Macaca mulatta: one gene and its partners. The protein of the gene in region 1 interacts with the protein of each later gene in a pairwise test. Links are inferred from orthologs where the notes say so. Each region holds a gene or a part of one and is shown in the gene's direction. Other genes may lie near its edges.

Region 1 (3,708 bases):
TTTTTTTTTGAGAAAGGGTCTCACTCTGTCACCCAGGCTGGATTGCAGTGGTGTGATCTTGGCTCACTCCAACTTCTGCCTCCCAGGTTCAAGTGATTCTCCTGCCTCAGCCTCCCCAGTAGCTGGGATTACAGGTGTGCGCCACCATGCCCAACTAATTTTTGTATTTTTAGTAGAGATGGGGTTTCACCATGTTGGTCAGGCTGATCTCAAACCTCAGACCTCAAGTGATCTGCCTCCCCGGCCTCCCAAAGTGTTGGGTTTACAGGCATGAGCCACCGTGCCTGGCCATCAAGGCTAGCCAAATGTTTGATGACCTTAATATGGCTTATTATGCTGTGTTCATGGCCTAATGCTATTCAGAGTTTAAAAAAAAATAACCTTGGCAAGGTGATTTATTTAGTCCTCTGTTAATTGTATTTTGGAAAAATAAAATTTCAGACCTTTATAGTTAATTTTATGCTTAAATGCTTAATGATAGTGTCATTTAAAAATTATTTTTAATTTTATTTAAAACAAGGCCAGGCACAGTGGCTCACACCTGTAATTTCAGCACTTTGGGAAGCCAAAGCGAGCGGATCACCTGAGGTCAGGAGTTCGAGATCAGCGTGGCCTACATGGTGAATCCCCATCTCTACTAAAAATACAAAAATTAGCCAGGTGTGGTGGCACTCGCCTATAGTCCCAGCTACTCGGGAGACTAACGCAGGAGAATCACTTGAACCAGGGAGGTGGAGGTTGCAGTGAGCCGAGATCGCGCCATTGCACTCCAGCCTGAGGGACAGAGCGAGACTCCATCTCAAAAAATAAAAAAACAAGTAGATAGTTTCATTTTTTTTTGTTTTTTGAGACAGGGTTTTGCTCTTGTTGCCCAGGCTAGAGTACAGTGGCACGATCTTGGCTCACTGCAACCTCTGCCTCCTAGGTTCAAGCAATTCTCCTGTCTCAGCCTCCTGAGTAGCTGGGATTATAGGCGCCCGCCACCATGCCCAGGTAATTTTTGTATTTTTAGTAGAGATGGGGTTTCACTATGTTGGCCAGACTGGTCTCGAACTCCTGACCTCAGGTGATCCACCTGTCCGGCCTCCCAGAGTGCTGAGATTACAGGCATGAGCCACCACGCCCGGCTGATAGTGTCATTTTTTTTTGTTAAGTTCGTGATTACCATACACAGAAGTTGAAAGAGAAAAATATTTTTCACTATATGTAATCCATGTGATACGAAATTCAAAAGCCACAAAACTGTATATATTGAAACTATATATAGTGAAAATAAGTCTTAATTCTAATCTTCTCTAAAGCCAATCACTTTGATCAATTTCTTATACGTATTACTAAAGCTGTTTATATAAATACTGGTGTGTGTATGTCAACATGTGGTAACATACTATGCAGACTCTTCTGCTTTTTCTGGTTAATATGTCTTGAGATTGTTCCATTTCAAAACAGTTTAACATTGACTAGTGGGAATGTAACATAGTACAGTTGCTGTGGAAAACAGTATGACAGTTCCTCAAACTGTCTTTTTTTTTTTTTTTTTTGAGACGGAGTCTCGCTCTGTCGCCCAGGCTGGAGTGCACTGGCCGGATCTCAGCTCACTGCAAGCTCCGCCTCCCGGATTTACGCCATTCTCCTGCCTCAGCCTCCCGAGTAGCTGGGACTACAGGCGCCTGCCACCTCGCCCGGCTAAGTTTTTGTATTTTTTTTAGTAGAGACGGGGTTTCACCGTGTCAGCCAGGATGGTCTCGATCTCCTGACCTCGTGATCCGCCCGTCTCGGCCTCCCAAAGTGCTGGGATTACAGGCTTGAGCCACCGCGCCCGGCCCAAACTGTCTTTTTGTTTTCTGAGATGAGATCTTGTTCTTTCGCCCAGGCTACAGTGCAGTGGCCCAATCTCGGCTCACTGCAAGCTCTGCCTCCTGGACTCCAGCAATCTTCCCATCTCAGCCTCTTGAGTAGCGGGGACTACAGGTCTGTGGCTACCACACTCAGCTAATATTTTTTTTCTAGAGATAAGGTCTCACTATAAAATGATTCTCTGGCCTTAGCCTCGTAAAGTGCTGGCACTACAGGCATGAGGTACCATGTGCAGCCTTTCAAACTGTTAACACATAGACTTACCATAAGATCCAGCAATTCCACTCTTCAGTACATACCAAGAGAAATGAAACATATGTCCACATAAAAACTTGTACTGCCGAGCGTGGTGGCTTATGCCTGTAATCCCAGCACTTTGGGAGGCTGAGGTGGGCAGATCATGAGGTCAGGAGTTTGAGACCAGTCTGACCAATATGGTGAAACACCATCTCTACGAAAACTACAAAAAAAAAAAAATTAGCCGGGCATCATGGTACACACCTGTAATCCCAGGTACTCAGGAGGCTGAGGCAGGAGAATTGCTTGAACCCAGGAGGTAGAGGTGGAGGTTGCAGTTAGCCGAGGCATGATCTCAGCTCACTGCAACCTCTGCCCTCCAGGTTCACGCAATTCAGCCTCCTGAGTAGCTAGGATTACAGGCACATGCCACTATGCCCAGCTAATTTTTGTATTTTTAGTAGATGGGGTGTCACAATGTTGGAATGTTGGCCAGGCTGGTTTCGAACTCCTGACCTCAGGTGATCCACCCACCTCGGCCTCCCAAAGTACTGGGATTACAGGCGTGAGCCACCGTGCCCAGCTGAATTATACACTTTAAATGGGTGAATTGTATGATATATGAATTCTCTTTCAAGCTGTTTAAAAAAAAAAAGTATGTTAATGTGTTAACATGTTTTTGCTTTCAGTTCTTTCTACAACTTCAACAGGCTGCACTGGAGGTGTTTGCAGAGAATAATACTCTGAGTAAATTGCAGCTGGGACAGCTAGCCTCTATGGAGAGCTCCGTCTTTGATGACATGATTAACCTCTTAGAGCGTTTAAAGCATGATATGTTGACCCGTCAAGTAGACCATGTTTTTAGAGAAGTTAAAGATGCTGCAAAATTGTATAAAAAAGAAAGGTATGTCCTCTATGTAAGTCAGCTCTTAATACCAGTTTGGTAAAAGTTGAAGATGGTATATGTGGTCAGATTTCCAAGGTATCTAGATAGAACCTGGTTTGGCCTTATGTACTTTAAACTTCATTGTTGGAAATCTTTCTAAAATATGTTCTTGGACATTTTTTTTTTTTTTCAAGACAGTCCTACTCTGTCACCCAGGCTGGAGTGCAGTTGCATGATCTCGGCTCATTGCAGCCTCCACCTTAGAGGTCAAGTGATCTTCCCACCTCAGCCTCCCAAGTAGCTGGGACTACAGGCATGCACCACCACACCCGGCTAATTTTTGTAGTTTTAGTGGAGACCTGGTTTCACATTTTGGCAGGCTGATCTCCAGCTCCTGACCTCAGGCAATCCACTGCCTCGGCCTCCCAATGTGCTAGGATTACAGGTGTGAGCCATCACACCTGGCTCGCTGACATTCTTAATCAGAATAAACTGGTTATAATTTAGCTGTTTGTAAATATATTAATAGGATAGTGTGTGATATGGGGTTGAATAGCCTAACCTGTCTCCCATTTTGCAAAGTAAAGTCACCTGTGGTACTCTGCATACTTTTGTTGTGGTTTATCCCACTACCATTCACTGTGAACACCTGTGTTACTTTCATCCTTGATAGCAAGCAGTATCTTTTTGTCCTAGTGTAGTCCCTGCCACACAGAGTGCCAAAAATT
Region 2 (3,708 bases), on another chromosome or scaffold:
TATAATGAAGGTATAAACAGAGTTTACCAAGCATAGGTGGGAACCTATCATTCCCATCCACAGACGAGGTAAAATCTGAACCAAACCTTGAAAGGAGTGGTTTTCTAGCTACAGAAGGCCAAGAAGGAAAGTGCAGGCAGAGGGCTTAACCAAGGCCCCTAGACTTGACTACGAATGGTTCTTTGGGGAATGATGAGGTCTTCTGAGCATTTGGAATACCCTTGGGCAACTGCTTCAGAGGCCAGATTTGGGAGTTTGGACCTTATTCTGTGGACAGTGAGGGTTTTCAATAGAGAAGTGATATCAACTGCAGATGTAGGAAGGTAACTCGGAGGGAAACTGAGGCAGGTGATGGCACTCCTCTGCTGGGTAGCTGGGGTGCTCTGGGTGTCCTTCTCTGGCTCTGCACAGTGATGTTGACAGCATTACTCTGAGATGCTGAAGTGGAAATTGGGACAGACATGAGGACCACAGTTTAGTTCCCAAGGGCTAGGGATGCAAAGCCGACTCTGTGGCACAATGGATGGTGCATTGGACTTTCAAGGGCTGGGATGCTGCCCACTAGTGCCTGTAACTTTAAAACTATCAATGGACATATGAAGATAAAGGAATTATTTAATGATCGATTGGAAGGAGATGGTATGTTCTAATAGGTTAACTTGTAAACCAGGAGTTGGGCAGACCAGGATGCAGATTTTGGCTATACCACTATGTGGTCTTGGGTGAATTACAAAATTTCTTGGAGCTCTTATAACAAAGTGAGGATGACAATGCCTTCCTCATAGGGTTGTGATGAGGATGAAGTTAACGTCTTTACACTGAGGGAAACTGAGGCAGGTGATGGCACAGGGCCCAGCATGTTAGAAGCACTCAGTAAGTGGTGTCTGTTACTGGTTCTCACGTAATTTGAATGTCAACATCTGCTTTGTAAAAGCTCTTCCTGTTGAAGAATGGTTTTTGAGAATGTTACTTTTGTCTCTCTTCAGAAAAACTCACTCTGAAGAATTCACCAATAGCTTGAAAACAAAATCACAGTACCATGATCTGCAGCCTCCAGATAACCAGCAGCCTAAAGACATCTGCAAGACAGTGACAGAGACGGAGGAATTGGAGCAAGGATCTAGCCCATCCCCAACCCTGGAGGACGAGAAAATCCGAGTGAGTCCTTCCTGTCTGTAGGTGTGCGGAATTTCATCACGGGGGAGAAAAAGCTACTGAGGCCACTGAGACCACTGTGGCCGAGTGTCAGGATCCTCCACTGGCTTTGCTGGGAGAAATTCCTCCTAACTTTAAGGTCCTCTTGCTCATGTCCCTTGGGGGATTTACCTTCCCTGCTACTTCGTGAAAAATAAAGCACCCCTATTTCGTGAGACTGAAAGTACCAGGCGAGAACGCTAGGAATGCAACTTGGCATTTTAAGATATTTTCAGGTTCTCCCCATTGCTGCCCCATTATAGGTCTTCCGTTACAGCAGAGGTTGGCAAACATTTTCTGTAAAGTGCAACATAATAAATGGTTTAGGCTTTATGGGCCATGCCGTCTTTCTCACAGCTATACACAAATGAATGATCATGGCTGTGTTCCAATAAAACTTTATTTTCAAGGACAGGCAGAGGGGCAGATCTGGCCTGTTCACGATATAGATTACTTTCTACCGAGTCTCCACCTTTTTGTTGCCGACTCTAAGTATCAGTGCTCGTTTGGCTTCGTTGGCTCTGCCTGTGACTGTGGGGACAGTTACTTCCCCAACATAATGAAATTTTATACTCAGAATTGGTATGAATTCTCTTATGGTTCAGGTGGTTTAAAAAACTCAAACATAATTTGCTGGTTGGATTATAGTTTGGGAGAACAATACAACTATATTATGAAGTACCTTATTCTGCCAGGAATTTAATTACAACTGAGAATTAACAGGGATTTACAGTTGTTTGATTTCCATTCGTGTCTCCAGCCCTGCAGCACTGGTTGTGTGTGCTTTTGACTTCTTTGAGGCTATCAAATGGGAATACAGATATCTCCTGCTTCCTTCTAGGGCCTAGTGAGACTCTGATAACTAACACGGTCAGGGGGTTATTCCACAGCAAAGCACACTGCTGAGTGTCTCATGTGATCCTTACAATAACATGAACTAGAGACATTTGTCCATTTTACAGCTGGGGAAACTGAGGCTAGGTGTGGTTGAGCAACCTGCCCAAGGTCTTATTCCAACCCAGGTCTGCAGGACCCCCAGGCTATTCCTTAAATATTAACTATTAACTCCTTAACTCTTAACTCTCGTATTTGGTTGTATCTTTAATATGAGGGCTATGAAGAAGCTTTTTATGAAGGGCTACAAATATGAGGCTCAAAATATTTAAGAAGAAAAAATTCTAAATTTGGTTTTTCCTCTCAGGATCAGCCCTGGGCATGCTTCCCACATCCTCAGTGAGGCCTCCATGCCTCCCCAGGCATGCTTTGCACTCAGCATGCGTAACACCAGACTCCCCCAACACGGCTCCCTTTCCCACACCCATAAAACCAAGAACAATAACAACAACAAGAAAGCTCCTTCCAGAGTATTAATTATGGAGCTGAGTGTGGTTGCTCACATTTGTAATCTCAGTGCTTTTGGAGGCTGAGGCAGGAGGATCCCTTTTGAGGCCAGGAGTTTCAGACAAGCCTGGGCACAATCCTGTAGAGATAGTGAGACCCCCATGTCTACAAAAAATAAAATAAAAATAGCCAAGCATGGTGGTTCATGCCTGTAGTCCTAGCAACTCAGGAGGCTGAGGCAGGAGGATCGATTGAGCCCAGGAATTTGAGGCTGCAGTGAGCTCTGATTATACCACTGTACTGTAGCCTGGGCGACCGAGTGATACCCTGACTCTTAAGAAAAAAGAAAGTTTTAAGTGTGTATGCTTATCTCTGTGCTTGAATTACAGTACTTTTTTAGATCTTTTTTTTCAAAAGTAGGACAGAAGATTAAAATGGAAATTAAAATAGATACCACAGTTATTATTCTTTAACCATCTCATAAATATTATATTGAGAGTGGCACTGTTCCATTCCTTAGGTGCCTGCTAAACTGTCATATGGAAGGAGATGGGGGCAGTGGAGAAAGAAACAATTAGATACAAGGAATACAGAAATAGATGGGTGACAGGTTTTTATATTTCTGCTTTTTATCTTTCCCTGTGTCAGAGAAGATGCTGTCAGGGGCTCCTGTGATATTTGCTGAAGTTCACTCTGACAGCGGGCCACGCAGCGAGGAAGCTGATCTTCACAGCTAGTGTGAGCATTTAAAGAGGTGTCTGCTACCTCTTAGACAATTGACTCGATGGTACATTTACATTTTTATTGTAAGTTCTGTATATGTCACTATAGTGGCCTGCATATTTATCCCCCGAAATTCATGTCCACCTAGAACCTCAGAATGTGAGCTTATTTGGAAATAGATCTTTCCAGATGTAATTAAAGTAAAGGATATCAAGATGAGATCGCCCTGGATTTAGGGTGGACCCTAAATCCCACGACAGGTGTCCTTATAAGAGGAGAGCCAAGGGAAATGTGAGAGAGAGTGTACTAGTCTGTTTTCACGCTGCTGATAAAGACGTACCCGAGATTGGGCAGTTGACAAAAGAAAGAGGCTTACTGGACTAGTTGGGGAGGCCTCACAGTCACTGTGGAACGTGAAGGGCACGTCTAACATGGCAGCAGACAAGAGAA
Region 3 (2,373 bases), on another chromosome or scaffold:
TGAGCCACCGCGCCCGGCCAGATTTTTTTTTTTTAACTAAGATCATAGAATCACGGAATTGTCAGACTTGGAAAATCCTTGGAGATACCCAAGACGTGACTTGTGGGTATGTTATGAAATTAAGAGCCTAAATCAAATGCCCTTCTCATTCAACTACAAGTAATGAGCTTGGACAGATGTCAGACTGGAGACCTGACCTTTAGAAGTGAGAAAGAGGGATGAATTAGTAGAGTCCAGTATAATGACTGCTTTTCTTTTAAAGAAGCTAATGGCAGCAGTGTCAAGCTGAGCTAACATCAAAGAGGATTAATTTGAAAGGCTCTTCTAATTTGTCAAAGGGAAGGACATGGGATAGGTGCTGTGGAGCAGCCATCTGCCTTGAGTCATAATTCTGAGAGAATTACCAGGGCTCAGAAGAATTTCTTTACTAGAGAAAGTCCCAAGTAATTTTTTTTCTTTTTTATTCTAGATCTCAGAAAAATTCATGTGTAAATTCTACCAAATTTGGTCCTGTAGAGAGATACGTTGGAGGTGCCTTGGGAGGACATGATGTTCTCAATCTGCCAGATGTTCCTGGCATATAAGTAGAATTTGCTGCCTGGAAGTTCAACCCTCACAATATACCCCTCCCACCGTCATATCAAAATAATGAATTATCTGGCCAGGAATCATGTCCCAAACTTAACTGGCCCTTCTTTTAAAGGCCCTGCTTTCTGTTTAACTATCAGAGGTTTAATTGTACTTATTCCATTAGTAAAACTTCATTCCATTAGTGAACTGAAAAGGAATTTACCATCTGCAAGTTCTTTCATTTTACTAACAAGGAGGAGTTCTAGAAAGTGGGAACTTCAAATTAACGGTTTGCTGCTTTATGCCTTTAATAAAAATGTGTTGAGAAACGACTATGTGAAAGGCCCCAGTGAATAACAAATGGGTTGTGCCCTAAGACCTTGAGGTTTGATAGGTCTGTGGTCATGAGTGACTAGATGTAAGAGATATACAAAGTGCCAGGAGGGAGGAGGGCAGCAGGGGGCTGCTCTGAGGTCCCTCAAATGGGCTACTTGCAGAGAAGTTTTAAAATCTCCTCTGGGATCTTTACCTTCAATTTGGTAACAAGACTGAAAAAAAAATCACACAAATCTCTTGTCAAAGCATACGGAAAGAATAAAATATTTTAAATTTCTCTCTTGCAATATAGAATTATGCAATGTATTTGCGGAGAGGAGGAGAAAAATAATTAATTTCACAATGAAACCAGATAACCAGATATAAGTTGAAACACTATTGTGAATGAATCTTCATGACATACAAGAAACAGATTATGTACAATTTTTGGCTGGTCTTAATAGAATTTAATGCCCTTTGAATTAAATGATAATCAATTATGGTAGGACTGCCAATTAGCAACTTTTTAAAAAAAAGTTCTAATGCATTGTTTAAGTGTACCTATTCTTTTACCCTCTTACAGGATTTAAATCAATTCATGACTCTCTCAGCTCTCTCCAGCAAATACAGAAAACAAAGATGGATTTAGAGAAATGTAAAGTACAGAAAGACCTGAAGAAATTACAGCGTAAGATAGTGGAACTCCAGGAAGTATAAACCTTTTCAGTCATCTTCTTTTTCACCAGCCAATGGAGTGATTTGTTGGGAAAAGTTCTGAAGAAGAAAGTTACTATCTCTGGGATGTTTACTGCTTCTAATGTCTCCTTTTAAGGAGATGAATGTACCAGAAAAATAATAAAGCACAGAAGCTTTGGATGTCTTGCATTTATTAATGAAAAAACTAAGAAATTTCCTTATATATCTGCCTCTCTCTCTCTCGATAGATAGATAGATAGATATGTATATGTGTGTATATATGTGTGTGTGTATATATATATAAATCTACAAATAACGAAAAAGGAATCTACATAAGGTATATGAGTGAAGTAGGCCAGTTGTAATACATTAAAGAATGACAGGAGCTCTGTCAAGTTGGAGAGCACGTACTCTGTCTAAAAATAATAGCTACTATGTAGTGACAGTTCATGACTAACATATATATATATATATATATATATATATAAATCCATTATTATCCAAAATTCCATTTTTCAAGAGAAATCCCTCTATTTTTAAGCTTTAGCAACTAGTTCAAAATAGTTCTCAAACTATGTGAGATGCCTGTGGAGCAGATATGACCTAGTGGTCAGTTTGCAACTTCTAATCTCAATGTTTGTGGCAAGTTTAACTTATGCATATTTAAAATATATTTCCCTTGTGCTCATTATGTATCAGAATTATAAGCAATTAAGAGCCAAACCATGCAAAATAAGAGAATACAACAGCTTCCATGAAAACATATCCAGCGTAATTTGACCTAGGCGCTAA
Region 4 (4,466 bases), on another chromosome or scaffold:
CTCAACTCTTGTCTCCCTCATCACAGCAGGACTAGCACATCACGCAGACCAGGAGTCAGCCTTTTAGGAAGAACCAATATCCAACCTTTGGGCTTCTCCCATCATTTCCAGGGATGACAACAACATCTCACAACCACAGGCCTCTCTAATCACGATCAATATGGTAAACATTTTTGTAATATATATTATGGACTGAACACCAGTATGTTTCAAGGAATGTCTGCTTTAGGGTACTCACAGGCCAATGAAGATACAAAAACATGCACCATCAATATAAGACTTAATAAACATTAATGTGTACCAAGTGTCTACAGTATGCCACAGAGGAAGAGTAATTCACCAAAGGGACTAAAAGAATGGCTTGTAGAGGTGGGCCTTGAAGAACGAGGGCAAGTGGGGGAGTGCCATGGCCCTTTTCAGAACAGCTGGGAATACAAATCTACTAATGCTGAGGGGACTGAATGCCAAGAGGTACATCCTAGCTCTTTCAACAGGGGCCACTACACTAAAACCCTAGGAAACCGGGTGGACACCACGCATTAGCCCTCCAGGCCAGTGGTTCTCACAACAAGTTGGGTGTTTGGAGGAGTCACACCCACCCCCTGTGACATCTGGCAATGTCTGGAGACAGTTTTGATTGTCATGCCTGGGGAGTAGGGGTGCTACTGTCATCTAGCAGGTAGACGCCAAGGATGATGTTAAACATCCTACAATGAATGCACAGGGCACATCCCACAGCAAAGGATTATCTCGCTGGAAACGTCAATAGTGCCATTGTTGAGACACTCGGTCTCCAGGAAAGGCACTCCGTATGTGCTACTTCAGCAAGGGCAGCCTCTTAGGCTAGGATATGATTCAGTTAGAACATCTCTGGGGTGGAAGAATACAGCAGGATTCCAAATGAACCACATCTGAGGTGAGAGGAATCCACGGTATATCGTTTAGAGTTGGGAAGTTAAGATATAAAATAGAGGCTTTACCTGACCACCCTTTCTAAAGACACCACCCAAGTCACTTTATCACATCCACCGGTCTCATTTCCTGTATAGCACTTATGACAGCCTAAAACCATCTTATTTTCTCCTTATCTTCTTTCCCCTCTGGAATATAAGTTCCCTATGAGCATGGAGTTGGTTTATTCTATCCTCCGCCGTTTCCACAACTTGCAATGGAATAACTCCTGATAAACAATAAGCATTCAACAAATTTGGTAAATCAATTTCGGCTTTTGACGGTTTCGGTGGTAGGAAAGGGGCGAGTTCGAGGCAACTACCTCTGACATAGCGGTTGGGGGTGGGGATCGAGACCTCAAGCACTCTAAAGTCTGGAAGGCTGGGTCTGAAATACAAAACTGCCGCCTCCGGAGAAGAGTAGAAAGGAAAGAGTTGGAGTGTACCAATGCGAGGCGAGAGGAGACGCTGGGCTGAAACAGAAGTGCACCGTTTGGGACCGAAGGCTACGGGAGAGCTACCAGCGTCCCCACATTTTGCGGAGGGGGTCAAATAAGTCTGGGAAGCCGGCTCCGGGCGGCGCGGCGGGGAGCCGCGAGGCGGGGGACTGGCAGCTGGCGGGAAGCTGGCTCCAGACGCGCCTACTTTGGCGGGAGGGGGAAGTAGGCGGGGTAACTGGCAGCTCGGCCCGTACCACTCGGCCGGGGCGGGGGCCGCGCAGGAAGAGGCAAGTGACACCTGGAAGGGGTTCGAGTTAGAGCAGCCGCGTGGGGAGAGTGGGTTCGAGCAGAACCCCCTCTGGAGGGGCAAGGAACCCGTAAGGGTCCGCGACGTTTCAGGTTACATGGGCTGGGTTGTACTACTCCGGAACCGGATAAGGGGTCCAGGCCGGGACGTGCGCAGGGCCGCAGCCAGGTTTATCTCACCAGAGCCATTGGGTCCAATGATGGCGGTGAACCTCTGAAATGGTCCGATAATCTGTCGACCCTTGTACGACTTAAAGTTCTCGATCTCAATCAGTTTCAGGAACCCCATGACGGCCGCGGCGCCGGCGGCGGTAGGACAGGCCGCGCCGTACGCCCGGGAACCGAGGTAGCCCGCGCGGGAAACGCCGCAGTGCAAGCCGGGCGGCCGGCAAATGTCGCGAGAATACCTCCAGGCCTAACGGGATTTTCGGCTTCCGGCAGGAGTGGGACCAGGGGCGGGGATTGATGTTGCGTATACGAGGAGCGAGCTGACGACTGGCGTGGTGCCTCCGCCCCCCTTTCTTGTTGCATGGCAACAACAAACACTTGCTCCTGTGGACCAGGTCCTCGGAGGAGTTGGTGCTGGGCGGAGTCAGAGCAGCTCTTGAGGTTCAAGGAGGCGGGGGAGACCTGAGCTCACGCTTGCTGAGACAGAAGTCACAGCAGGATTATGCCCCTCAGGGCAAGAGGAAGGTGGGAGCTCGGCTGTGGCTTTAGCCTGGCCAGCCTTCACGGCTAGGACAAGGACAGGGGCGGGAATTGGAAGGACCCGGGGGGAGCGGAGGGCTGGACGAGAAGGAGGGGCCAACGGGAGGATTCAGTGTTAGGTGAGCTCAGACTTTGCTAATGGTGGGGTGGGATTGGAGGCGGGACGGGATGCCAAGGCGGATGGGGTGTGAATGGGGCTGGGGCTATTCCCAGGCAACAGGGATACAGGCTGGGGAAGGCTACGGCCTGAGATACTACCCCTATCCGCTACCTCCCTCCTGTTCTACCAAGCAGAGTTCAGAAACTGCCGCCGTAACCCAAGAACAAAGTTGCATGCAGAGCCAACCTAAGAGCTTCAAAATCGGGATTCCTTACTGAGAAAGGTATTTTGTGTGAACCCCCAGGAGTCAGGGTCCCTAAGCCGGTGCTCTCCACCTCCACCTACCTCTCCCTCCATGCCTCTCCCCCATCCCATTCCCACAGCTCTATACCACGATGCCACCTTACCTCTCTTCCCTCTCTGCTCTCTATCATTAATAAGGCAGGGGCCTTAGCAATCCAAGAAGCTTAAAATGTCTGCTGAATCTTCCCCTTCAGTGACCTTATACTGTGGTGGCAGGTGGAAACAGTAGGTAAGTTGGTGCCATTCTCAGACTTAAACACGGAAAGGATCTGGTGGTTGCCATAATTATTCCTTTAACTATTTATTAAATTATGTCCGAAGGCTAGAAAGAGTCCTAAAGACTTAGGACAAGTCCAAGAAAGTGAGGAAGTGGCTGGGTATGGTGGCTGACACCTGTAATCCCATCGTGAGGGAGGCAGGCCAAGGCAGGAGGATCACTTGAGACCAGCAGTTCAAGACCAGCCTGGGCAACATAGTGAGACCCTATCTCTACTAAAAATTTAAAAATTAGCTGGGTGTGGCAGCTCTCACCTGTGGTCTACCCAGAAGGCCGAAGCAGGAGGATCACTTGAGCCTGGAAGGCTGAGGCTGTAGTGAGTGGTGTCTGCACCACTTCACTCCAGCCTAGGTGACAGAGCAATACCCTGTCTCAAAAATAAATAAAGGGAGGAAGCTTGGTAGATGGAATCTAGTAGGGGAGCCATAAATGAAGTTCAGTTGGGAGAAACAATCAGGCTGAGGGGATAAAATGGCTAAAGGAAAGCAATCTCATGTAATCCATGGGGAAATACTGTTCCCTTTTAAAAGATGAGATGGTGAGCCCTGGGTAACATAGCAAAACCCCATCTCTACAAAAAAATTTTAAAAATTAGCCAGGCATGGTGGCACACACCTGTAGTCCAGCTACTCAGGAGGCTGGGGCAGGAAGATCCTTTGAGCCCAGGAGTTCGAGGCTGCAGTGAGCCATGATTGCACCACTACACTCCATCCTGGGCAACAGAGAGAGACCCCATCTAAAACCAAAATAAAATACATTTTATTCTCTGCCTCAACCTCCCAGGTAGCTAAGATTGCAGGCGCCTGCCACCACGCCAGCTAATTTTTTTGTATTTTTAGTATAGACAGGGTTTCACCATGTTGGCCAGGCTGGTCTTGAACTCCTGACCTCATGATCCACCTGCCTTGGCCTCCCAAAGTGCTGAGGCGTGAGCCACCGTGCCCGGCCAAAAATAAAATACATTTTTAAATTAAAAAAAGATGAGATGGCACTTGGGAAAATTAAATTGGATTCTTATCTCACACCATACACAAAATGCTATTCCAAGTGGATTAAAAACCTAAATGAGGCCGGGCACAGTGGCTCATGCCTGTAATACCAGCACTTTGGGAGGTCGAGGCAGGAGAATTTCTTGAGTTCAAGAATAGCTTGGGCAATATAGTGAGACCCCATCTATATTAAAAAAAATTAAATGGGACCTGGCACGGTGGCTCACGCCTGTAATCCCAGCACTTTGGGAGGCCGAGGCGGGCAGATCACGATGTCAGGAGACCGAGATTATCCTGGCTAACATGGTGAAACCCCGTCTCTACTAAAAATACAAAAAATTAGCCGGGCGTAGTGGCGGGCGCCTGTAGTCCCAGCTACTCGGGAGGCTGAGG
Region 5 (4,214 bases), on another chromosome or scaffold:
GAAATGAAAGTAGATAGTTTAGAAAACATCAAAAAAGAAGGCACTGAAGACTGGCAGGCTGGAGAGTCTGACTCTATTGCCTAGGCTGGAGTGCAGTGGTGCTATCTTAGCTCACTACAACCTCTGCCACCCGGATTCAAGCAATTCTCCTGCCTCAGCCTCCCGAGTAGCGGGAATTACAGGCATCTGCCACCGCGCCTGGCTAATTTTTTGTATTTTTAGTAGAGATGGGGTTTCACCATCTTGCCCAGGCTGGTCTTGAACTCCTGACCTCTTCATCTACCTGCCTCGACCTCCCAAAGTGCTGGGATTACAGGGGTGAGCCACTGCGCCCGGCCTTTTCCATTCTCTTTAAAGCACTTCACACAAGTTATGTTACCGGTTTACTCACCAATATTGGCAGGAAAGGGAACTTCATGTACTGCTGGATCCAGGTTGATCACATAAGGTGGAGTGCCTTGGGCATGCAGGTGTCCTGTGAGCCTCTGCAGAGATATGGGGAGAAGGTTGGAAGGAGACAAAGAGGGGACAAGAGAGAACTTCCTTTACCACCCATGCCTTAAGAGTTTTGCACTTAGATTTTCTTTTACCTGAAATATCCACCCACTATATCCACCACCAAGATACAACTCTCAGTTCAAATGCTACCTTTCTTCATCACCCATCTAACAAAACTTCCCCTACTCATAGTCACTTGTTTACTTGTTTTGATTCTTCGTATGTGGGTTTTCTCTATCTCCTCCATTAAATATTTAGCCCCATGAATGAATCTTGTCAACCTAATTTTCGCTATATCCCCAGTGAATGGTACATGACAGGCGTGCAAGAAATAATTCTTCGGCAAATCTTCACCAAAACCTGTGTGCTAGCACTGTATTAATCTCTAAAGTTACTTGTAAGCCCCTGCCTTCGAGAAACTGGCAATTTTATCAGCAAGACAATTCCTGTACAACGTGGTAAGCTGACCGAGTATGCACTGAAGGTGCACAGAAGACAGCCTTAATTAACCTGGCTAGGGCCCGAGGAGGCTTTGCCGGGGAAGGAACTAAAGTTGATGGGAAACGACCGAAACCCATGCGCCGATACCCTCCAAATCCTCGGAGACCTCCCTCCCTTTCTCCCTGGCCTTCCGCCTGTCGGAGGCAACCTTTTGCGCTCCCCTACTACACCCACGCTGTGTACGTCACCTGTACAAAGGTGGTTTTCCCGGATCCCGCCATTCCCAACACCAACAGACACACTGGGTGCCGCGGACCCCCAGAAGCCTGGGGCTCAGCTGCAGCTGCGGGAGCCGCCATCTTCCTCCTGGCCCCGCCCACCTGACCATAGAGACACCGCATGGCTAGAGAAACTTCCGCGATGTTCTGGGCAGCGAACGAAAACAGAACCAAAGCGTCAGAAAGGAGCGTGAAGGGGCGCGGTAGTTGCCAGGGCATCTTCTTAGTATCGGGCAGGGCTGGTGAGCCAACTAGTGACAGTGGCGAGGAAGTGGGGGCGCTGAGCAAGCGAGAGGAAGGCTGAAGGGAGCTAGGAAAGGGCTCTGATCTCTGCAGCCTGGGAGGGCTTTTGGCCCCAGGGGGAAGGCGAGAAGAGATGGGGTCCCGAGGGCAGGACTCACACAGCAAGAAAACGAGGCGCATGCCTCTCATTTCGAGCCCGCAGAGAGCGGGGAGCGGAGCCACTGGAGGACCGGCTGCTCGGGTTTATTCGGTAGCCGAGGCGGTTAAACAGTTCAGGGCTGGACCAGCCAGGACTGGAGCAGGGTGCAGCCTCCAGGGTTGCTGGGCAGCACCGAGACCCTTTGAGCACCGAACGGATAAACTACGGGAGTTTTCCGCACTTGCACGTTGTTCCCGCGAGTTGCAGGCGCAGGTTCCTGATGCTAGCGCTCATTCCTTGGTAATCACCCTCGGTGAACTACGCAGTTGCCGTGACCTTCAGGATGAATGCTTGGATTCCAGGTGCGAATAGGTACTGGAGGGGAGCTTCCTTCTCACTGAAGGGCTCTCAGAAACTCAGGAAAGATGATGAAAGAGCTTAGAAAAGTATTTCTACTCGCAACCACCCAGTCTGTTTCTGTGGCCCTTTGTAGCTGCTAACAGTGTTCAGTAAGTCATAAGATCTGGCTTTCATACCCAGGCTCTGCCACTTGCTAGTGGTGTGAGTCATGGGCAATTCACTTAAACTCTCTGAACCTGTTTTCTCTTTTTAAAACTGAGATAGTACCTCCCAGGGTTGTGGTGAACGCACGTTGTAAATGATGAGCTAAATCCGTCATCTTTTACCACTAGCTGGATTCCCCTCACCTTGCATAATGTCTGGAACATTCTGGGTACTCAGAAATATTCTCTGGTATAAATAAAGGACAGTTGTGCACTTCCTAAAGTTTCATCAACTGAGAGAGGAATGTCTCATTTGTTCTTTCAGGTTTGCTGAGGGCCCCAGAAGGCTCCTTCCACCGTATCATAGGCTAATAAATAATTTTGTCAAGCCAGAGAAGCTAACAAAGGTGGAGACAATCCTTAAAGAAAAGATAGTGGCGGAAATGACGGTTCTGAACAAGCATATAAAACAAGCTCAAATCCAGCGGGAACAGCTACTGGAGGAATACAGGGAGCTATACCAAGAAAAGTTACTTGTCCAGGCTGAAAACAGGTTCTTTCTGGAATACCTGACTAACAAAACTGAAGAGTACACAAAGCAACCTGAGAAGGTATGGAACAGCTATTTACAACAAAGTGGAGAGATTGAACGAAGAAGACAAGAATCAGCCTCCAGATATGCAGAACAAATTTCAGTGCTTAAAACAGCGCTCTTGCAAAAGGAAAATATCCAATCCAGTTTGAAGCGGAAGTTGCAGGCAATGAGGGACATTGCTATATTAAAGGAAAAGCAGGAGAAAGAAATACAGACATTACAGGAGGAGAAAAAGAAAGTCCAAGCTGAGACAGCTGCAAAGACACGTGAAGTACAGGCCCAGCTCCTCCAGGAGAAAAGATTACTGGAGAAACAACTGAGCGAGCCAGACAGGAGGCTACTGGGAAAGAGAAAAAGAAGAGAGCTTAATAAGAAAGCCCAGGCCTTGAAGTTGGCAGCAGAGCGGTCTATTTTTGAATACTCCTGTGGCCTCAAAAGAGAGAACCAGCAGTTCAAGAAGGAATTACTGCAGCTAATTGAGCAAGCCCAGAAACTAACGGCTACTCAAAGCCACTTAGAAAACAGGAAGCAGCAGCTGCAGCAGGAACAGTGGTATCTGGAGTCCTTAATCCGGGGGAGGCAGAGATTGCAAGGAAGTCATAATCAGTGCCTAAATAGACAGGATGTTCCAAAGACCACACCCAGTCTTCCCCAAGGCACCAAATCAAGGATTAATCCAAAGTAACTCCTCCTAAAATAACACTGATTAGATAACTGGAGCAAGTACTCTTAAGTGCTATATTAACCTGGTTAGGAAGGCTTTTGGATTCCAGATTGTTATTGTAACATCTCCATCATGAGTGTTAGAGTGGAGGATTAGATGGTTTTATCCAACAGTCCTACTAGATATTTGGTAACCAGCTTCCCTTAACTAGTTTTTTCTTGAAATACTCTTGTTAATAAGATATTCCACAAACCTCTAGTTAACCTAACACATGACCCTAACCTAGCCATTTACCATACATCAAACTAGCTAAAGGAAACCAACCCGAGGAAGTGAAAACAGTTGTGATTTATTTCATCTAACTAGATTTCTTTATAGAGAAAAAGTACCTTTAAGGATAGCATTCCAAATAGACTGAATAGCGTTCTGCTCAGTAAATAACCAGTATCAGTTTATCCTCATTCCTTTTGACCGACTTAGCAGACAAAAGCAGTTTTTATAAGATTTTTGTAAGTTTGTGCCAGTGACCAGGTAGCTCCTAGTTTTCTCATGAGCGAAAAAGCATTCTGATAACAGCAAGTCCAGTAAGTGCTAGGCAGAGTGACCTTTCATCTGATGTGAAGCCCCTACAAGTTTAGCTTTAAGTAAATTGAGAAGGTAAGAGAAGACGAAGGAGACATCTATTAGGTCAGCTCTTACATTTGAAAATGTTTTCTTTGAAGAAACACATGTAGCATGGAGGTGACTGAATGCCTCCCCTTATTTCAGGAAAATGTATCCAAAAAAAGTTGAAATATTTGGACTTTTAAAAAAGTGTCATCCATTTCCCTAGCAGCATTCTAAAAGATAGAAG
Region 6 (4,301 bases), on another chromosome or scaffold:
GAGATGAAGAAACTGAGGCACAACATAAAGTAGGGTGCCAGGATTTGAACCTAGACAATTTGACTCTAACGTCTGTGCCCCTAATCATTCCCTTAAGTAGTCCTCAGGTTCTGTAATTATTATACCTGACTGCTTAAGGCTCAGGTAACTCCCTTCTGGCCACTTCTAAGCCATTACTGTCAGATGTTATTAATAGTAAAGAGACGATATCAATGTTTAAAACGGCCATTCAATAAGAGGACTGAAAACACTAGCCCCTGGAAATTCCCAACTTCCACGCGACTCAGAAGTTACACAACTCTTTCCCTAAACCCAGTGCTCCACCCAGTGTAGCTAACTTTGTCGTCGCGTAGCAACAGAACCTCGCCACACTGGAAGCGTGGCGGGGGGTCGGGGGGGTGGATTTTCTCGACTGGGGATGCTGCTGCCCGGTGGCCGGCAAAGGCCCTATCGGTCTCAAACATCTGAATTTTGCACCGACACAATCTCATGTAATGATTGTTCTGTTTCCTGTGTTGCGCCACAACAAACTTCCTTGGGCTACATTTTCCCTCAGATTTGAGTAAAAGATTTGAGGTCACGCTAAGAAGCCTGAATACTGAGGTACAGAAACGGTTGTTTACAAAAAAAAAAAAAAAAAAAACCTAGCGACGGGACCGCCGAGTTTGCGGCAGCCAAAAAAGCTAGCGATGAGCTCAGCTAAAGTGCCAGGACTCTCGGATAGATTTCTAACATGTTTCATTCTCAACAGGCTGGAACCCAACGCTGTTCTTGTGGTCTCTGCCTCTGGGGAGTCCACAAGCTGTAAATCTAACATGCAGCCAGCCGTGCGGCTTCTGGCCGCGCCACATCTGAGGAAAGCCTTTTCTGTGACGAGCGGGGAGAGGAGACTGACTGGAGCCAGAGAATGGAGGCGGCGGGCTGGCGGAGGCAGGGGGAGGCACTTTCAGGCGCACTTCACAGACGCACAAAAACAAGGAAGCCTGAAGGGAAGGCGGTTGAAAATAAGACAAGAGAAGCCGCCAACGGAAGCGCGCCCCCCTCAGGATCGGTTGGTCGTTCCAAAGCTCAGCTTCCCCCGCCCCGAAGACCTGCTGCGGATCACAGCCGCGCGCGCGCACTCCCGCTGCCCTCGGGCGCTGGGCAGGGAGAGCCGCGCGCACCGGTTAATTCTGCCAATCACGCGTTTAGGCCGCCTATCGTGTGGCCAAGCCCCGCCCCAACCGCCGGCTGGCGGAGGCGCGCGCGCAGTCCCGCCGCTCTGAGTCGCTGAGTGAAGCGGCGTCTCGCGCGTTAGTCAGTCTGGCCAATTGCGCGTCTTCTACGCCAGCCGCACGGCCCCGCCCCTGCCACAGGATCGATTTACGGCCGCAGCTGCGCGCGCTTTTTGCTCTCGCTGGGAATGGCGGAGGGAGGTACTCAGCTGAGGGGAAGGGGGTTACCTGAGACCTGGGCTTCCCCGGGAGTGTGCTGTGGAGTCGAGTTGAGCTCCTTTTCCGGGTCTGGGGAACTCAACCTCACCTCATCCATGGGGTCTTCGGGGATCTAGTGGGCTTTCTGCAATGGGGGGAAGGAGGGGACTACTCCCGCCCCTGGTTTGCCTCTCAAAAGTTGATGCCTTTGTCGGAGAAAGCAATTTCAGTCCACTCTCCTTTTCAGTGCCTATTCGCTGCTTAAACTAAAAGGGCGTAAATGCATCTCCGCTGTGTTTCTTATGCCTCGGGCCGGCAGGGTAACGGGTTCTAGTCACAGCTTGTAGAGTTCAGGATGGGTGACATTCAGGTCCTATTGTTTTTGAGTCAAAGTTTCGGCTATATCTTCTTGAATTATGAAGCTGTCATCATAAAGAATTCCTGATTAAAGCTGTTATTCCCTTCTTCCAAGGCAGAATTTGAATATATTTTGGTGGATGAAAAGAAAACAAGGAGAGTTGTGACTATGAGATACTAGCTGGTTGATGTGTCATGAAAATCTTAGTGGTCCCTTTGTGGGAAGGTAAATGGAAAACTGCAAAAAGAGCAATAATGAATTACAAAGTGAAATTAGAAGAAATATCTGGCTTACTTGTGGATGCTTTGTACACCAATAAAATATATTCTTTGATAAAAATCGACTATGGAGAGGTGTGGCTAATTTGATTCTCATTTAATAATTTTTCTTTTTTAGAGAAAAACCAAGATTTCACTTTCAAGATGGAAAGTTCGTCAGACTCAGCTGTGGTTTTACCTAGCACTCCTCAGGCCTCTGCGAATCCATCATCTCCCTATACAAATAGTTCACGAAAACAAGTATGAAAATCTTTGTCCTTCCAGTGGATCCATTGTGTGTTTCTAAGTATTGTGGCAGTGGTGGTTTAAATTCTACTGAAGGTTGTTAATTAACATAATGTGTAGCATAAATAAGTAGACATTTTATTAAACAATTTTATGTTTTTCTTCTAAGGTCACATATATGACACCCACCAGCCCCTTTCCATATTTTCCTCTTGAATCAATTCATTTCAGTTAGTTTCAGATTAATGGAGAAAGTTAGAATCTGTGCAATATTGTGAAGGTCTTTAGTGGCAGGGTCTAGGTCTTTTCCTTACTCTGTAATTCTGAAGCACCTGGAGTACCGTCAGGCATGTGCTTGTTACTGAACAAATGTTCCTTGATTACTGGGATAAACCTTTCAACACTTTTAGAAAGGTGTTGATCTTGCTGAAGTAAAAAGGAAATAGAACAAATGGAGCTTCCAGAAATTAAAGACATTTTGTGATGCCTTCTTTAGATGTGGAGACAGAAAGCCATCTAGTGGTGTCTAGCACAGAAATGTAAGGCCTTTATTTCTGGTGATTTATTGACATCAAGAATGTTTTTCTTGATTCACATTTTTAATGTTTTATGCTCTTTATAGCCTATGAGTGCAACACTTAGAGAAAGATTAAGGAAAACAAGATCTTCATTTAATTCCTGTTACAATGTGGTGAAACGTCTTAAAGTAGAGAGTGAAGAAAATGATCAGACCTTTTCAGACAAACCAGCATCTTCCACAGAGGAAAACTGTTTGGAATTTCAAGAAAGTTTTAAACACATAGATAGTGAATTTGAAGAAAATACAAATTTGAAAAATACTTTGAAGAATCTCAGTGTCTGTGAATCTCAGTCACTTCATTCTGGATCATGCAGTGCTCTCCAAAATGAGTTCATGAATGAGAATCTTCCTAAACAAAGATTAAACGATGAAAAAGCCAAATTGGTGAAGCAGGTTCAGGAGAAAGAAGACCTTCTTCGGAGGCTAAAACTAGTCAAAATGTATAGATCAAAGGTGAGAAGAATTTCGGGACCATTGTATCATTTTTATTTTTACATAAATTGCAGGAAAGTAATTTCAAAAATAGAAAATAAGGTGTGTGTTTGTTTTTTTATCATAATAAGCAATAAGCCAAATATTCAGAAACCTGGCTTCCAACAACTTTAATTCAACTCCAGATTTAGAGTAGAAAAGGCCCTTAAACACCAGGTAAAACTTTTTAAGAATCTCAGCTCTTATTTAATATGCAGTTAAACTTTTCTTTCTAGTTTCTAGCCCACAGCAATATTAGAAGTATTAAATGTTAGATGCAAGTACGACGGGAACAGAAGTGAAAGCTGACAGTCAATTAGTAAAACTAAAAATGGGCTGTAGAGTACAATAAAAGGTATTTTATTTATGATCTTGTGTCTCCCCCAAATAATTAATGTGATTCAGCCATATTATTTGAGAAAAAAACAAATATATATTAGATTTTAGATTTCAACTCATATAGGTTGAATTAAATAGAACTTGAGTACATGGAAGGAGATAACCTTTATTACCTGGAAAATTCATATATATGCAATAGCTCATTTTCCCCCAACTATGTGGAATAAATGATGAGATAGCATATCTCATTTGTTCTCGTGAAATTTTAGGGTTTTTTAAAAATAAAATTTAGGAGTATTGAATGTATTTTAAAATTTAGGAGTAAAAAGTGTATTTTATTTATTCATTCTCTTTTTAGAGACATGGTCTCTGTTACCCAGCCTGGAGTACAGTGGTACAGTCCTAACTTATTGCAGCCTTGAACTCCTGGGCTCAAGTGATCCTCCCACCTCAGCCTCCCTAGTAACTGGGACTACAGGCATGTGCCATCACACCTGGCTAATTTTTTTAAATTATTTTTTTGTAGAGATAGTCTTGTTATTTTGCACAGTCTAGTCTTGAACTCCTAGGCTCAAGCAGTCTTCCCACCTTGGCCTTCCAAAGTACTGGGATCACAGGTGTGAGCCACCATGCCTAGC
Region 7 (4,402 bases), on another chromosome or scaffold:
CCCAGCGCTAGCGCCCGCCATGCCCAGCTCGCTCGGCCAGCCCGACGGCGGCGGGGGCGGGGGCGGCGGCGGCGGCGGCGCAGGGGCGGCGGGGGAGGACCCCGGACCCGGACCTGCGCCCCCGCCCGAGGGCGCCCAGGAGGCCGCGCCCGCTCCTCGGCCGCCGCCCGAACCCGACGACGCGGCCGCCGCGCTCCGCCTGGCGCTGGACCAGCTGTCGGCGCTCGGGCTGGGGGCCGCGGGCGACACGGACGAGGAGGGGGCGGCCGGGGACGGCGCAGCGGCGGCGGGGGGCGCGGACGGCGGGTCGGCTCCGGAGCCTGTGACCCCCGACGGGCCCGAGGCCGGCGCGCCCGCGACCCTGGCCCCCGCCGTGGCCGTGGCCCCCGGGTCGCTGCCGCTGCTGGACCCCAACGCGAGCCCCCCGCCGCCCCGGCCGTCACCCCCCGACGTGTTCGCGGGCTTCGCGCCCCACCCCGCGGCCCTGGGCCCCCCGACGCTGCTGGCCGAGCAGATGAGCGTGATCGGCAGCCGCAAGAAGAGCGTCAACATGACCGAGTGCGTCCCGGTGCCCAGCTCCGAGCACGTCGCCGAGATCGTGGGCCGCCAGGGTGAGTGGCCCTCGTCGGGGGTTGCTGTCCTGGGGGTCCCCGCACCGCCCGCCCCGTGGAAGGGGGTCTCCCGAGCCCAGCCTAGCCCGCGCCGGACGCCCCGCACCGGACACGCCCCGCGTGGGCTCCGGCCTCGGCCACTGCCTTTGCGCCTTTGTCCTGCAGCGGCCGCGGGAGAAAGTTGGGCGCAGCCCGCGCTCCTCCCCTGCTCGCTCCGGCCCCGCCGCCGCCTTTGTCTGGGCAGCCTCCAGCCCGGAAAGGCTCCCGGGAGCCGCGCCGCAGCCCAGGCCCTTGGCCACCCGCAGGGGCACCCCGGAGAGGAGCGCGAGGGCCCGGGGCTCCGGTCGGGCGGGGGGCACCCCACACCCAGCACAGGCGGCGGGGCGGGGCAAGCGCAGGTTTAGGGGTGGCTTAGGGGGGCCGCCTGCAGGGCCGGGAGAGAAGGCTGACAGTACAAAGAGCGCACGTCTGGGTCCCCAGCCTGGGGCCCTGACTGGGGTGGGGACGGGACCTGGCAGGAGAGGGTCCCTGCTCCACTCTCCGGCCCCGAGTCAGGGATTTGGGGGCCTGGGAAGGACCGGCTGTCAAAGCCACTTCTGGGGTGCAGCCTGCTGGGCAGGCCAGCGGGCGGCAGGCCCCGAGTGTGGGGTCCAGCGGTGGCATCGTCGGAGCTTCCCTCTGGCCGCCCCATTGTTCTCTTTGTTAGAGAGCTAGGCTGAGATTTGCAGGGTGACATCAGGCCGGCCGCTGCTCATTGGCCCCCGAGCTGCGGGGCGGGCGGGCGGGTGGTGGGCAGTGCCTGGCCCAGCTCACACCCACCACCCCATTAGCCACCCGCCCGCCCGCCTCCCTCAACTTTCTCCTGCCTTCCCGCCACCCCTACCCACTCCTGGCTCCCCGCTGACCGCCAGTGATCAGCCAGGTTCTAGAACTTGGGGTGGGGCCTTGGCGGGGCTAGGTGGGGCGGCAGGACACTTGGGCTGGGGGTCCCTGCCTCCCCCAGGGCCCTCAGGAACCCAGGCCAGAGAAAGGTGTGGGGGGCTGGGATTGCAAGGTCATCTATGGCCCTGGCCGCAGGCGGGGGACCACCAGGGTGCCCTCCCCTCCGCCCCTTCCCTCCGTCCTGGTGGGTGGGGCAGCATGGCCTCTTGTGTTTTGGTCAGTCATTTGTCCAGCTCATGTGGGGACCCATGGAGGGCCAGGCGTGGTGCTGGCCCAGGAGGCATGCTCTGGAATGGCGATGCGGAGGGACTGGGTGCTCTGGCTGCCCTCAGTGGGACTCCCCAGCAGGAGGGTGCCCTACCATCCTGTTACGGCCTCCCCATTGAGGCCTTCCACCTGCCTCCATGTCCCATAACCAGGGCTTAGAACAGGACAGCTGCCCTGTGCAGAGTGTCGGGGACAGACGTCCAAGCCGAGGCCCGGGGACCAAGTGTCCAAAGGCAGCAGGCTGAGCCACCAGGTGGTGGAGGGTGTGGCTGTGTTCTATGTGAACTCGCGTGTCCTGGCACCCGAAGGGCCTTTGAGCGAGGCTGTGACCACATGGGGAGCTAACAGGAGTCAGGGTCAGGCTGAGAGCTTCTAGACCTGTGGCCCTAGGGTGGGAATTCTCTAGGGGCAGGTCCACGGGAGATGGAGTCCATGGGCACCAGGCTTAGCCACCCACTTCTGGCCTGTGCGTTCTGCACCCACTTACTGGGCTCTTGCTGGTGGCGGTCAGCAAGGCAGGCCCTGGGGCACAGTGGGGGTGGCGGGAGAGTGGGCCCTGATTGCTTGCCCGGCAGGCCACAGTGGCCCGTGACCCTGTGCAGGTGACAGCCCCCTCTCTGTGATGTGCAGACGTCTCACCTCCATTGGGATAGAGGATTCTGGGGCAAGATGCTGGTTTTATATATTTATTTATGAGACGGAGTTTTGCTCTTTCTCCCAGGCTGGAGTGCAGTGACGCGATCTGGGCTCACTGCAAACTCCGCCTTCTGGTTTCAACCTATTCTCCTGCCTCAGCCTCCTGAGTAGCTGGGATTACAGGTGACTGCCACCACGCCCAGCTGATTTTTGTATTTTTAGTAGAGACGGGATCTCGAACTCCTGACCTCAAGTGATCCGCCAGCCTCTGCCCCCCAAAGTGCTGGGATTACAGGCCTGAGCCACCACGCCCCGGCTTATTTATTTATTAGTTTTTATTTAAAAATTTTTTTTGTAGAGACAGAGTCTCGTTCTCTTGGCCAGGCTGGTCTTGAACTCCTGACCTCAACCGACCCTCCCACCTCAGTTACCCAGAGTGCTGGGGCTGCTACAGGTGTGAGCTACCATGCCTGGACCCAAGTTGCTGGTTTTAATTCCAGCTCCAGGTCACACACAGCAGCCACCCTGTAAGTGGAGTGCAGGTTGCCAGGGATGTTACTGTGACTGCCATGACAGGTTGAAACAGGCCTTACATCTTCCACACTGTAGAACCATCTGTGGCTCCCAGCTTTTCCCACCCACCCCGTTGTCAAGCACACCTTTCAGTGTCCTTTGTGTCCCAGCCCTGCCCCTTCGCTCACCTTCTTCTCTACCCTGGGGCTCTCTGAGCTTCTCATGCTTTTCTGTCAAACCCAACCTCCAAGGCTACCCCTTCCCTGGAGGACAGGAGGGGTGCACCTGTCCGGCCTCCCCACCTAGACCAGAGTCACACAGGCCTGGCACCAGCCCTCTGCCCGGTAGCCATGTGCTGTTCTCTGAGGCTCAGTTCTCTCGATCCTACAGGGATCTGAGTGCTTTCTGGGCAGACTGTGGTCATTCACACCTTCTGAGCTCCCACCCATCTGCTGGAGGCTCCAATTCATTTGTTTGCTAGACTTTTTTTTTTTTTTGAGACAGAGCCTCGCTCTGTTGCCCAGGCTGGAGTGCAGTGGTGTGATCCCAGTTCACTGCAACCTCCACCTTCCAGGTTGAAGCCATCCTCCTGCCTCAGCCCCACTAGTAGCTGGGATTTCAGGCACGTGCCACCACGCCCAGCTGGTTTTTGTATTTTCAGTAGAGATGAGGTTTCGCCATGTTGGCCAGGCTGGTCTTGAACTCCTGACCTCAGGTGATCCGCCCGTCTCGGCCTCCCAAAGTGCTGGGATTACAGGCGTGAGCCACCGCGCCTGTCCCCCAGCTGATTTTTGTATTTTCGGTAGAGAAGGGATTTCGCCGTGTTGGTCAGGCTGGCCTCAAACTCCTGACCTCAGGTGATCCGCCTGCCTTGGCCTCCCGAAGTGCTGGGATTACAGGCGTGAGCCTCTGCACCCAGCTATTGGCTAGATCTTTATTGAGTGCCTACTGTGTGCTGAGCCTGTGCCAGACTTGACCTGCCCCATCTCACTGAGGCCCATAATGTTCCCCAGGGAAGGTCCTGCAGCTCCCAGGTCATAGATGGGGAGGCAGAGGCTGCAGGAGGTAAAGGGTAGGTAAAAACTGAGGGGACAGCAGCACTTTGAGAGGCTGAGGCAGGAGGATCCCTCTAGCGTAGGAATTGAGAACAGCCCGGCCAACACGGCAAAACCCTGTCTCTACAAAAAAAAATACAAAAATTAGGCATGGTGGCACACTCCTGCGACTCCAGCTACTCGGGAGACTGAGGCGGAAGGATTACTTGAGCCTGGGAGGCCGAGGCTGCAGTGAGCTATGATCTCGCCACCGCACTCCAGTCTAGGCAACAGAGCGAGACCCTGTCTCCAAAACAAAAAAATCACGGGCTGGGATTCAAACCCTAGTTTCTCTGGTGGGTCAGCAAAGAAAATTTCAGCTTCCAAAGCTGGAGGGCT

The links.
Region 2: the proteins of RINT1 (region 1) and SH2D4A interact in binary tests that used the Homo sapiens proteins (3 or more experiments, as listed by UniProt). The two-hybrid records come from large-scale screens. The link is inferred for Macaca mulatta from reciprocal best matches to the Homo sapiens genes RINT1 and SH2D4A.
Region 3: the proteins of RINT1 (region 1) and FAM81B interact in binary tests that used the Homo sapiens proteins (3 or more experiments, as listed by UniProt). The two-hybrid records come from large-scale screens. The link is inferred for Macaca mulatta from reciprocal best matches to the Homo sapiens genes RINT1 and FAM81B.
Region 4: the proteins of RINT1 (region 1) and RIBC1 interact in binary tests that used the Homo sapiens proteins (3 or more experiments, as listed by UniProt). The two-hybrid records come from large-scale screens. The link is inferred for Macaca mulatta from reciprocal best matches to the Homo sapiens genes RINT1 and RIBC1.
Region 5: the proteins of RINT1 (region 1) and CCDC121 interact in binary tests that used the Homo sapiens proteins (3 or more experiments, as listed by UniProt). The two-hybrid records come from large-scale screens. The link is inferred for Macaca mulatta from reciprocal best matches to the Homo sapiens genes RINT1 and CCDC121.
Region 6: the proteins of RINT1 (region 1) and SFR1 interact in binary tests that used the Homo sapiens proteins (3 or more experiments, as listed by UniProt). The two-hybrid records come from large-scale screens. The link is inferred for Macaca mulatta from reciprocal best matches to the Homo sapiens genes RINT1 and SFR1.
Region 7: the proteins of RINT1 (region 1) and C19H19orf25 interact in binary tests that used the Homo sapiens proteins (3 or more experiments, as listed by UniProt). The link is inferred for Macaca mulatta from reciprocal best matches to the Homo sapiens genes RINT1 and C19orf25.

Annotation. Positions count from the first base shown.
Region 1 is NC_133408.1:145,161,580-145,165,287, forward strand, and holds part of RINT1 (RAD50-interacting protein 1), read left to right. Parts: intron 1-2,783; coding exon 2,784-2,998; intron 2,999-3,708. UniProt on the Homo sapiens protein: Involved in regulation of membrane traffic between the Golgi and the endoplasmic reticulum (ER); the function is proposed to depend on its association in the NRZ complex which is believed to play a role in SNARE assembly at the ER.
Region 2 is NC_133413.1:20,975,983-20,979,690, forward strand, and holds part of SH2D4A (SH2 domain-containing protein 4A), read left to right. Parts: intron 1-986; coding exon 987-1,158; intron 1,159-3,708. UniProt on the Homo sapiens protein: Inhibits estrogen-induced cell proliferation by competing with PLCG for binding to ESR1, blocking the effect of estrogen on PLCG and repressing estrogen-induced proliferation. May play a role in T-cell development and function.
Region 3 is NC_133411.1:101,822,493-101,824,865, forward strand, and holds the end of FAM81B (protein FAM81B), read left to right. Parts: intron 1-1,468; coding exon 1,469-1,602; 3' UTR 1,603-1,738; downstream 1,739-2,373.
Region 4 is NC_133426.1:53,268,920-53,273,385, forward strand, and holds the start of RIBC1 (RIB43A-like with coiled-coils protein 1), read left to right. Parts: upstream 1-1,645; 5' UTR 1,646-1,677; intron 1,678-1,876; coding exon of another isoform or gene 1,877-1,985; 5' UTR 1,986-2,042; exon of another isoform or gene 2,043-2,086; intron 2,087-2,250; exon of another isoform or gene 2,251-2,259; 5' UTR 2,260-2,389; exon of another isoform or gene 2,390-2,523; intron 2,524-2,698; 5' UTR 2,699-2,787; intron 2,788-2,945; 5' UTR 2,946-3,036; intron 3,037-4,466. Other genes in the region: SMC1A (structural maintenance of chromosomes protein 1A), read right to left, coding at 1,877-1,985.
Region 5 is NC_133418.1:97,366,265-97,370,478, forward strand, and holds the start of CCDC121 (coiled-coil domain-containing protein 121), read left to right. Parts: upstream 1-1,335; 5' UTR 1,336-1,593; coding exon 1,594-1,961; coding exon of another isoform or gene 1,962-1,971; exon of another isoform or gene 1,972-2,103; intron 2,104-2,149; coding exon of another isoform or gene 2,150-2,169; exon of another isoform or gene 2,170-2,184; intron 2,185-2,427; coding exon 2,428-3,382; 3' UTR 3,383-4,214. Other genes in the region: GPN1 (GPN-loop GTPase 1), read right to left, coding at 392-485, 1,188-1,298.
Region 6 is NC_133414.1:116,280,757-116,285,057, forward strand, and holds the start of SFR1 (swi5-dependent recombination DNA repair protein 1 homolog), read left to right. Parts: upstream 1-1,342; 5' UTR 1,343-1,402; coding exon 1,403-1,415; exon of another isoform or gene 1,416-1,500; intron 1,501-2,166; coding exon 2,167-2,288; intron 2,289-2,895; coding exon 2,896-3,306; intron 3,307-4,301. UniProt on the Homo sapiens protein: Component of the SWI5-SFR1 complex, a complex required for double-strand break repair via homologous recombination. Acts as a transcriptional modulator for ESR1.
Region 7 is NC_133424.1:2,255,876-2,260,277, reverse strand, and holds the start of C19H19orf25 (UPF0449 protein C19orf25 homolog), read left to right. Parts: upstream 1-1,583; 5' UTR 1,584-1,597; intron 1,598-4,402. Other genes in the region: RNA-binding protein MEX3D, read left to right, coding at 20-611.